Linked DNA regions of Caenorhabditis elegans. The protein of the gene in region 1 interacts with the protein of each later gene in a pairwise test. Each region holds a gene or a part of one and is shown on either strand. Other genes may lie near its edges.

Evidence for each region. The genes of interacting proteins can lie anywhere in the genome.
Region 2: the proteins of hmbx-1 (region 1) and nhr-49 interact in a two-hybrid assay, tested with the Caenorhabditis elegans proteins (2 studies listed by BioGRID).

The regions. Positions count from the first base shown.
Region 1 is NC_003279.8:987,686-992,715, reverse strand, and holds hmbx-1 (Homeobox-containing protein 1), read right to left. Parts: upstream 3,046-5,030; 5' UTR 3,034-3,045; coding exon 2,574-3,033; intron 2,196-2,573; coding exon 1,678-2,195; intron 1,221-1,677; coding exon 924-1,220; 3' UTR 538-923; downstream 1-537. UniProt on the Caenorhabditis elegans protein: Transcriptional repressor which maintains cell fate asymmetry of AWC neurons in adults by repressing the expression of multiple AWC (OFF) genes, including srsx-3 in the AWC (ON) neuron.
Region 2 is NC_003279.8:9,867,915-9,874,625, reverse strand, and holds nhr-49 (Nuclear hormone receptor family member nhr-49), read right to left. Parts: upstream 4,909-6,711; coding exon 4,839-4,908; coding exon of another isoform or gene 4,835-4,838; intron 3,399-4,834; coding exon 3,301-3,398; intron 2,715-3,300; coding exon 2,573-2,714; intron 1,933-2,572; coding exon 1,577-1,932; intron 1,528-1,576; coding exon 964-1,527; intron 916-963; coding exon 805-915; intron 667-804; coding exon 502-666; downstream 1-501. Other genes in the region: K10C3.5 (Elongation factor-like 1), read right to left, coding at 5,696-6,031.

The sequences.
Region 1 (5,030 bases):
CCAAAATGGCCTAGAAACTCAAAAACAATAAAAATTGGCACATTTTGAGCATAAATGACGTGTTTCAAATCTAGATACGACCCCCCTCAAAAAAAAAATGGCGGCCACCCTCTTGAGCGTGGGAAATTGCGAGGGAAAAAACTCTCATATAAAATGGAGAGGGGGTGGTGAAAGGAAAATTCCAAGGGATTATTACTTGCGCTCTATTGATAAACTACCAGTGTACTCCGCGTGGACAAGTTTCAACAAAGTTTTAGAACTTCCAGGTCACTCTGGAATTTTTTTGATGGCCTAGTTTTCCCATGGCCTAGAAACCACAAAATAATTTAACATTCCAATTTTGAAATCTTTCCGTATAGATGAAAAATTATTGTGTACTCCACGTGGACAAGATTTGGAAAACTGTTGCATTTTACAGATTTTTGTATTGTTCCAAATTCAAGTTTTTAAAAAAAAATATCTTGAAAACACTGAACTTGTTTCACCCCTCGGTCAAGTGCAATGGGGCGCGTTTGCAAAGTATTTCATTGAATTCTAGAACTAGAAAATATTTATTCTCGCTTGAAAAATAACAAAAATTGCACAAAAAATGGAATTTCCAACAAAATTTCAGGGCAAGCGATACATTACGAAACGCGTGGAGTGTGAAGCAAATATTATTCAAAAAATGTTTTTGAAGAAACTCGTACTTTTCAAATATTAAAACAGCAGTGAAACACAAAAAAAACAAATTAAATATTATGAAAAATCGATTATTGATTGATTTTTGGACGACGGGGCGTGTGTGGGGCAGGGCGTAAGAAACGGAGCATCGTTTGTAATATGAAAGAATTGAGGTTTTCGTGTCATGGGATGAAGAATAAGTTGAATAAATGGAAAAAAGATATTGGTGTAGAAAAGAAGAAAAGAAAATTAGAAATGCTTCACTCAGACTTCAAAATAGAAGCCGGGTTCCCGTAGAACGGAGCCATTTGAAACGGGAAAAAGTGTGTTGGCAATGTTGGAAATGGAACCGGAAGCTGAACTCCAAGCTGTTGGGCCATGGCGAAAAGTTCGAGAGCTGACGGCGATACTGATGGAATGATTGTTGCTGGAATTGAGATTGGCGAGGTTGTTGATGACGTGGCAGAGATGATGGCAGACGGGCGGGACACTTCAAAAGTGGACACTGCTGGTGACGGGGAGATTGCTGTCTCCGGGGTTGTGTTACGGGAGCTTGTCTGCAAAAAAAATGGGTTAGAGGAGACAGGGAAAGTTTTTTTTGGATCATGGCCTAGAATATGGCCTAAAAAATCCTAGGCCACGGCAGAAATTTTCGTGGCCTAGAAATTTGTGTCTAGACTTAGACCTAGATCTAAACCTAGACCTAGACCTAGAACTAGACCTAGACCAAGACCTAGACCTAGACCTAGACCTAGACCAAGACCTAGACCTAGACCTAGACCTAGACCTAGACCTAGACCTAGACCTAGACCTTGAGACCAAACAGACACATGTTTGCCAAGGACTGACAGGTTTACCATCACTCTCAAATAAATAAAACTCCAGAAATTTAACCTCTAGATGGTACATGTTTATGACTTAACTTGTGGGAAAACCGGAGGGCGATTCCTTATAAGACCTAGAAAAAATTCTTCCACCCAGAGTACAGCGTGGCCGAGAAATTAAAACTCTCACCTCTTCATCGCGAGGGCTCATGCTGGACACACTGACAGAATCATGATTAGCAGTCGATGACGCAGAAGACGAAGCGGACGAGGTGGAGGCGGCCGAAGCTTCAGCGGATCTTCTTCTCAACTCCTTCCGCTTATTTGCAAACCAATTCGAAACGACTTGAGGGCTGACCACCTCCTTTGGCATCAACCCAACACCTTTCTTATCCATCTTCAGAACGTGATTGCAAGCATTCGCTATTTCGACTCGCCGTGGAAGATCTGGGAATGGCGTTTGTGTGAAGAACGATTCGAGCATTCGGATCAGAATTGGACGAAACACGTAGCGTTCTCGACGTTGTGGGATCAGCTCGCCATCTCCATTCGTCTCGAGGCGAGTTGTCGGATCGGCGAGGAAGGCAGCGAGTTTGTTGGGATGACGTCGGCAGTTCAGGTACCAACAGTAGATGTTCTTACGGCAACGGAGCGATAGTTCACGGTGGTTGCCGTTGAGCAATTTTGAAATGTACGGCTGGCTTACTCCTGGAAATTTAGAAGATTGACATGGCGCAGTGGGTAGCAACTTCGCCTAGGAATTCAGACGCCTCGGTTCGATCTCAGCGCGGGTGGGGCATATCGCAGTGGCTAACAGCGAAGGATAGATATCCAGGCACCGGGGGATCGATTCTGGTGCCGGCTGCAGAGAATTGCTCGCCTAAGATCCAGAGTCCCCTTTTCCCTTTAGCCAACTTTATTTCATATGACGTCATAGAAGGAATCAACTACAGTAATACTCAATTGCACTGTGGCTAACAGCAGAGATTAGGAATCTAGGCGCCGGGGATGTATTCTGATTTATTTCTGGTCACGGCCTAGATTTTAGAAAAAAAACTCTTCCACTACACTTTTTTGGGAACTAACCTGTCATCATTGCTACCGTAGTCTGCCGCAACGAGTACTGTGTGATGAACGTCTTCATATCCAAAATGCACGCCTCCTCGCCCTGCTTCATAAACTCCTCCAGCTCATTCGGATCGTCCAGTGTGGTAATCTCCTTCATCGGCGTTCGCTGACTCCTAATCGGCCGCGGAGCATTCGAGCATATCGGATGCTCAAATGGTGATGAGCAATTTGAAGATTGTGGCTCTGACTTCACAGGTGTCGGCACTGTCTGCACGGTGAGTTTGACTGGAGTCTCTGATTTGGGTGTTGTGAGATGTTGGACCAGGAGTGGGCTGTACAGGGCTGCGGCAATTGTGTTGTTATTCTGAAGCTGCTCTGGAACTTCCAGCTCGCCGAAAGCCTTGAGCAACTGATCGGATGACATCCCGGTGTGCTGCAGCTTTTTGATGAGCTCCAGTTGCTCAATTGTGAATAGCATTTTTTTTTCGTTCTGCAAAAAAAAAATAGTATGAAAAAAGTAAATAATAAATGTTGTTGTGTAAAATAAAATTTACTACGAGGTTTTATATCAAATATATATACCAAACAATATAAGGGCGTTGCTGCTCAATAACAACATGATAAGAGGTAGAAAAAAAAGATGGAGTATGATAGAAATTATATATTACTACAGATTTAGTGAGGGGGAAGTTAGGCCAGATGCCTGCTTTTTTTGGGCCTTAAGTTGTAAGAACCATGGTCCTAGACTTGGTAAGCCGGCTCACTGGGCTAAAAGCCTTCACCTACCAGGCCATTCGGAGGAACATCAGATATAGCATTATAGTAGACTAAGCATGGGGGTCATGTAGATCAACCCTCTATTTCAAAAATTTGGATATTTAAAAAAAAACTGTAGAAAAGTAGGAGACCAAAGTTCAGAGCATAGAGAACAAAACCAAAGGAGAAACAAAAAAAACAAGATCACCTCTCCAAAAACATATACATATAAGAAAAGGAATCTCGAATCAGGTCGGTGTGGTCTGGCAGATCGAGGTGGGGGGCGGGAACGAGCGTACTGGGGGAGAGAGACGCAGATGTTTCTTTCTCTCTCAGTTTCTGCGAAAAAAAAAGCACTGGGCGGAGTCGTAAAGTGCAGTGTTTACCCCGCTGGGGGAGAGAAGAACTACGGGAAAACTTGGGTCAGATGTTTGGAACACGCCCCTTTGGAAAACAATTTTTGAAAAAAAAATTGCAATTTGTCATGGTGCATCGTGGGGGTCAGTCTGGCCGCAAAATTTCAAAAACTAGAATTTTGAACTATTTTGAAATACAAATGTTCTATGTTTTGTCTAAATACAGTTATCTCTAACAATTTTTAAATACCAAGTTTTGGCAAATTGCCAAAATTCTGAAAAATATGAGCTTTTGAGGAAATTCAAAGCAATATCTTATGTTGCGGCCCTGTCTTGTCCTACAATGTTTTAATACAAATAATTAAAACAAAATTACATTATAAAAAATCTAGAAAAAACATTTTGGTCGACTTCCAAAATTATGAGTGGCAAAAACTGAGTAATTGTCACTTTTTGACTGTGAATAAAAAAATTTCAAAAAAATATTGAAAAGTTTTATTATGATATTCGGTACTTTTCGGACCAAAGGAGTGGTTTTTAACAATTTCCCCACTGGTGCTACTCCACCTTTAAGCCAAAAAATTTGCATAAAAAGAAATCGAAGAAAAAGGAGTTGCATTTTTTTATAGTTAAAAAAGTGTATAGAAAATATACAAGAAAATGTGTTAAGGTATGTAGAATGGAATATATAAGAAAAACAAGTCGATAAAACGCCACAGCAAAGAGCAGTTTTACAATCAGGTGGGAGGGGCCGGCAGGCGATCTGGAAAGATAATATATCTACATTTATGGCTCCCAGTCAACAGAGAGGCGGTTGTAAAACTACATATTTACGGAGAGGAGATGTACATTGGTGTTTTTTGGGGTGTTAGGGATATTTGAATCTAGGGCTATTTCAGACAAAACATTTTTATGCTAATTTTAGTTTTTCTGAGAAATTTTGGATTGAAACTATAATTTGAGTAGATTTTAGCATCGTAAATTTCAGATTTTTTTAAGGCTGAAAATTCCATAAAATAAGTATAGAATCATGGATTATAATGCTTTTACTGATATTTAAAAGAATTTTGTACTAGAGGGTCTCGCCACGATTAAGCCCTGTCACGATGCATCATGTCTCACAATCAGTCAAAAAATGCGCTAAGTTTGAATAAATTATTTAATCGTCAAAAAAGCAAAACTCGATTTGAGCCAAGAAAAAACGAAAAACTCAAAAATTTCCAGCAAAACTACAAAACTGAAGCGTTAAATCGTGACTGTCAATACATCGCGTACTTAACGCATAGCTATTCTGATAACAGGAGAGCGAGGCGAACTCGAGCAGGTCGTCACGACCCTATAGTCAACATGATAGGCTCTTGTT
Region 2 (6,711 bases), 8.9 Mb from region 1:
ATAATGTATTTTATCGATGAGCTTTGAAAAAGTATAAATAAAAGTTTCTTTTTGCAAACATAAATTGGTACGAACGCTTGAAAAGAAGGAAGGAAAATGGGAAGAAGGGAATCTTCTAAATAGAGATGGGAAATGCCAAGACAGTCACTTCTTATACATATTGAAGTACTAAACTGATAATTTGATTGACAATAATAATCACAAGAATAAACGAGAGCCAGCCCGTCTGGAAAAAAGATTAAGGAAGAAGAGTTGGGGGAGACGAGAACAATAACCTGATATGATATAGAGATGGCCTAGACAGGTTTCAAGATGAAACAACTACTGAGACGGAAGGGTATTCTTCTTTTGTTATGTACATTATAGCTGGGCTCTGGACTATTTTATAAATTGGGGGTAATGATTCAAAACAACAATAAGGGAAAAGATGAAAGATCACAGATTCGGAATAGAACTGGAGATGAGATGAGGTGAAGAGTTTTGGGAGAAAAAATGGAATTATTAGAGCATATGATTATTCTGCTCACTGTTCAAAATGGAATCTTGTGATTGGAGAGGATGAATTGCCAATGGAGCTGCAAGAGTTGCTGAGAGCATTCCAGTTGGTGTAATTCCAGAAACAGACGAAACACTTCCCACTGATCCGGCTGGATTTAACGGAGATACCTGAAAAATATGAATTTTGAAATGGAAGATCTTTTTTAAAAAGAGAATTTTACGGTTTTTCCCTGAAATCATTGGCCGTTTTCGCTATTTTTGTATTTTTTTAGAATAAAAAGTTTAATAAAATAATTAAAAACAAACCCCATTAGTCGGTAACGTTGTCGGAGATGAAAGATGTTGCTGTAAAGAGACCGGAGCCGTCGAATGATCATTGATGTCGTCGAGAATGAACTCGGAGAGCAGAGAATCCACCTGAAGCTATCATTTATGTACGGATTCAAACAAGAAAAGCTTTCATACCTCTGCCAATCCGAAGAACTTTGTAAGTGTCATATTCTCAATGAGCAGCTGAGTCAGAGCCTTGAGAGCCGGTGCCAACAACAAAATATTTCCATATCTTGTGGGTGCGTCATCTGGCATCTGATCGAGAATGAATGCATAAAGAGCTTTCAAAACACGATTTCTAGCATCACGAATCATAATCTGTGAGCTATTCGAGAGTCCTTTGGCTTCTGGGTGCAAGAATGCAAGTGCTTTCAAACATACAAATTCTTGTTCTCTCATCTGAAGTTGTCGCATTGGCCAGACAATTTCATCAAGAACTCTGGGTGTTATATTGCTTGTTTTGAATGCAGCAAATCCATTGAGGTCAGTGTTATTGTCACGTGTCATATAAGTATTGTTGAAGAGACAAACTCGAGTTGTATCGGGACTTCGAAATGCTGGCATCAAAATGAGATGTTGTGGTGCATAGTTTTTCAGTAGAATGATCTTATCTTCCATCGAAAGATCCATGAATGGATTAATTGTTTTTGCCCATTCAACCATCAATAAAAGTGTTGTCCTGGAGATTTCATTCAGATCCTGAAAATAAAACAATGTGACCTCTTAATTTACGTACCATCCAACTCACTACCTCGGTTGTGCATGGCCGGTTTGGTGGTGCAAATGCCGATGCTCCAGAATCACTTCCTTGTTGAATATCTGTGTCATTTCCATTCGACCCCCCACTGCCGTTTGCAAAGATTTGCGATCTTCGGTATCGATTACACATCTCTTGATTGACACGAGCCTCCATCTCCATTAAAGCATCAATGACACTGCTGGATTGTGGAACTGTTCGCATATTCTCTTGTCCCATACCGTTTGATCCGACACCGTTGCTGTTTCCGTTCTCGTATCCGGGGCTTCTGTCTTTTTTGAATGGAGTCCCGTTGAGACTGGCTCCAGATGTTGGTGAACCTACAGGATCACGTTCGAATTGAATAGCTGAAATATATTAAATTGTAGAATTGATCGTGGATGTGATTCAGATGATAGAACATGGACCTGAATGACAGAAAATAGTTGTTAAAATTTGTATTTTTGAATTCCCACGAAAATGAATGAAATATAATTATAGTTTACTATATTTTCGACATTTTTGCGTTTTTCGGTAATGTTTATTGTGGCTTTGTTTCAATATAATTTTTTGGTAAATTTAAAAAAAAAGAAATCATTCAAAATTTAATACAATTTTTAACAGTTATGTTCTGTCATTATGACTCTATTTCTTCTTTAAAATAACGAATTAAACATGAAAAAACATCCAAATTTTAAACGTATGTAGAATTAGATACGATATTTTGCTCCAAAATTATTTTTTCTAGATAGAAAACTACGAAACAATTTTTTTTTAGAAATATCGTGTTTTGAAATGGAATCTACGGACAGGAAAAGGAAAGAAAGAAGAATATATTCTAAATTCTGAGTTAACGGGGCAAATTTCCGAATCAATATCTCAAGTTAGAATCTTTTTTGCGGCCGATCTCATTTCACGGACGAAATTGAAAAGAGGTCACTGGTGAAAAACATGAGGCCACTGTGTTTTGGATATATTCAAATATTGAACGGAAAGAGAAATGAATACCTTCTCGTTTCATTCCAACTTGTACACACTTTTGAAAGCGACAATAACGACACGCGCATCGAAAGTTTTTGTCAATCACACATCTTTTGTTGAAACGGCAAGTGAACTTCTGATCACGAAGAACTGTTCGGCGGAAGAATCCCTGAAATTCATGAGTTTTATTAATGCGGGATAAATCATTAAAAAGTTCGAGATGATAATCATAACTTTCAAAAACCAGTTAAATTAATACGAACTTTTGCAACCATAAAGTACAGTACTCGGTCTCGTCACGAACAATATGTTTTCAAATAAAGCATGCGCGAAAAGCGTGGGTTACTGTAGGTGGAGTCAATATTACTTTGCTTTAAAGTGAGGAAATTGTTTTTTAAAAACTACTCCTGTGGTACCAAAGTTAACAAAAAAAGTTAGAAAATTTTTATTGACAGTAAAAACTGGCAATTACAGTTTTTGCCACTTTTTGAGAAAACTATAGCCCTGTCGCTTATCGAATCCCTATAGTGTTTGATTATTAATATTTGAAACATAAGTAGTCCATAAAATTATAAGGAAACAATTTTTTTGATCAACGACTTCCAAAAGTGGCAAAAACTGAGATTTTTCATTTTTCAAAAAAGGAAAAAATATAATTTCCAAAATCATTTTTCGTGACGAGAACTGAATTTATAATTTCACATAATTCTAAATATAATTTATTTTTTATTATTTTATAATTTATCCCTTCTCACCTTACACCCGTTGCAGGAAATGACTCCATAATGGGTTCCAGTTGATTTGTCACCACAAACGGCACATGGTTCCGCAAGAGGATCTACTAGGTCCATGACTGAAACAATTAAACTTTTTACAACAAAAAAAACAAATGAAACACGAAAAAAACCAAACAACAGATAGCAACGCAAGTTTTCAAAGTGAAAGAGAAACGACGAATGTCACTTGTTCATGGAAACGATGAAATAGTGTTGGAGGTAGAGAGAGTGTCAGACGAGTAGAGAAATCAGAGTCAATGCAATGGCTTTAACACATGATAGACACACAAGAAATAAGACAAAATTTAATATAAGTATTGATAAGCCTAATGTAAAATGTCCTGACGATACGGTGGATTAAAAAAAACGATTTGCCGTATCTATTGCAAATCGACTATGACGTCATAGTGTTTCAATGGTGTCTTTAGGAGTGGAACGCATGTTGTCTTAATAATAAAGGACCGGCAAGTGCACACAATTGAGATGCATTGACCACTAGGCAGATGAATGGGCCGCGTTCAGAAATTGTAGGTTTTATATTAGACCTTATTGGTGAGGATGTGGAGATAATTCAGCAGCATATAATTAGAATTTCCACTGCTAGAAGGACAAACTTGGTACTTTCAATTTATTGTTTCTGAATATAGAACAATTTTGAACGTATATTCAAAAAGACCGAAGCTCATGTAGAATGTTTTTCAATAAAGTATCCTAATCGAGTCCAATAAAAGTAGAAATTTGAACATTGAAAGGGCAAGCCGAAACTTGATAGCTCGGAAATTTCGAGCCTCCCAGTTTAGCAGATGTAGTGTAGGACTAAACGTGTTGCTATTGTAGCGAAAGTAGAGAAGATTGAGAAATCATCCGTCTTGAGCAAACAAAAGGAAACGCGAAGATCAGAAAAGGACTGATGTGGCACACTCTAAAACTGGTCGATGTGTTCGGCAAGATTCCAGTAGTCTTTCTCTCTCTCTGCTCACTCCAATGAGGTATTCTTAAATGCGGATGCTATTTCAAAGTCTTCTTGATCAATCTTGTCCGACGGATCGAATAAGATAGACGGTCGCGCTAAGTAGTGTCGTTCCTTTTCTCTCCAAGATCGTAAGATCTATATCTAAGGAGCGAGGAGATGTAATGCATCGAATAAGTGACCGACGAGGATCCAGTTGTAGGGTTTGGTAAATTCTGGTAGAAAATGAGGAGACACATCGAAGAATGACGTTCTAAGAGAAAGGGCATTTGAATTACTTTAGAACTTTTAGAAGAGCCAGGTTAATAAACTCAAAAATGTACATATTATTTGAACGTATAAAAATCCATATATACCCATATAGTGGACTTTGCAAAGAAGCCATCCAAAAATCATTCTATTAATTTCTGGATTTCAATGAGCAAGTCGCTGATTGGTTTTGTAGTTCTCAGTTTGGTGGAAAATTCAAAAAGGCATGAAAGTCGATATTTTAAAAGTTGACTTTCTTTCAATGTCGCTTGATGTGTCCGTTATAAAACTTACTTACAATCATCTGAAGATTCTTCATCAATTTGATTCAACTGAATATGTTTAGAAGCATCAAGAAAGTAGTCCATATCGTGAGAACGGAATGAGTTGACTAACAAAATGATGAGTATATACAAGGAGTTTGCGAATCACCCCATATAAACAGGAAGTGAGAGACTACATTATGTAGTTCAGTGTTGTTCGATGCCCCGTACTTTGTACTCTCAAAGCTAATTGGGACCGGCGTCGTCTCATTTAAAGTCAGTCATTAAATCTATGAACTTTTGATTGTGGAAAAAAGCTGAACTACTGGCAAACAGAAAGGAAACGAAAAAAAAAGAAAAGAAAATGGTGAAAAAGAAGAAGAAGCTAAAGCTGGCAGGCCAGTCGGTTAGAAGGACAAAAAAGAGACAGTGGTTGGTCAAACATGTCGAGAAATATGAAAAACTAGAGAGAATGGAGTTGACAGAGACACCAAACAACGACAGCCAACCACCCACAGCACGTTGACAATCGATAACAGGAGAGGCGCAGACCTTTAGAGATGAATAGATGAAAAGAGGTAGAGAAAGATTGTAAGAAAGTTCCTCTCGACCCTCTCTCCCGTACTACGCTATACCCATCAGGTCGTTGACACCACCACACGTGAATGAAACAGTGTTAACCGAGTGAAATTAAAATGTTTCAGATATGCCTTATATGATAAGTTAACATTTTTGGAGCAAATATTTTCGAAAAGTTCAAATTGATGATTTCAATTTAATTATTTCTTTGAAAAAAACGAACAAAAAAAAACAAGTAAAACAATCAACAAGATTAAAATGTGTCAAAACCGGAAATTCAAACAACAAAAAATATCACGAAACTAAAAAAAAATTATTTATTCTTTTTCAAATTCCTCTGCTTCTCCGCCGACTCCACAATCAGGTCCTCGGTTGGCAGTCCTTTACGTCTTCTAACTGCATCCATATATCCTCTTGCATGATTCGGACTGTCTCCCTTCAATCCGAATTCTTCAATTTCTTCCAATGTAGACGGCGTCCAGTAAGGATCCTCGTCAATGACTTGCCAGTGAGAAAATTGAAGTTGAGCAGAAGCCATTCCAGATGTGAACTTGCGAAGTTGATCACAGAAAGAGAACGATTCGACGACGGGCATTAGGGAGACCACTTCGAATAAATTTGTAGCTTCATTGATGTCCTCGGAGAGTACCTGAATTCAAAATTATTTTTTATTTAAAATTTAGTATTTATACAACGCCATTAAAGTAATAGTCAAAATTCGAAATTTTTGAAACAAAATGCTCATATAAATGAGATTGGATATACCGTATTTATTTGTTTAATCGGCACACTAAACCATAAAATCTATTTAGATTATAGTTGGAAAGAAGATTCATTCATTATATTCTCTCCATATATACGTTATTTGCACAGATGCGTCGAAAATTACAAAAATTAAATACTTCGTTCACATGCTCAATGGGCAAATCACATTAAATATTGACATGGATTTCAGGTTTATATTCGAAAACAAAAAAAAGGAAATTTTCGAAGCCGAAAAATTGAAAAAAAAGGAAAGTTTTGTAAATTTGAAATTATATATTGAAAAACTTAAATATTTTGGTCAAAATTTAACTTTTCATAATTTCGAGTGTCATTTTTAGAGCTATATCAGAATATTTCGGATTTTTTTTTCGGAAAAAAAATTAAAAATTAATTTTTTGTAAATTTGAAATTTTATTTTGAAAACTTGAATATTTTCATCGAAATCGCACTCTTTCTAAATTTTCTAGTGTTTTTTTTTTTTGAAAACATGTAAAATTTAAATTTATCAGTTATCAGGATTTTCGGTTTTTAAAATAGAATCGTTTTTTTTCTTCAAAAAAGCGA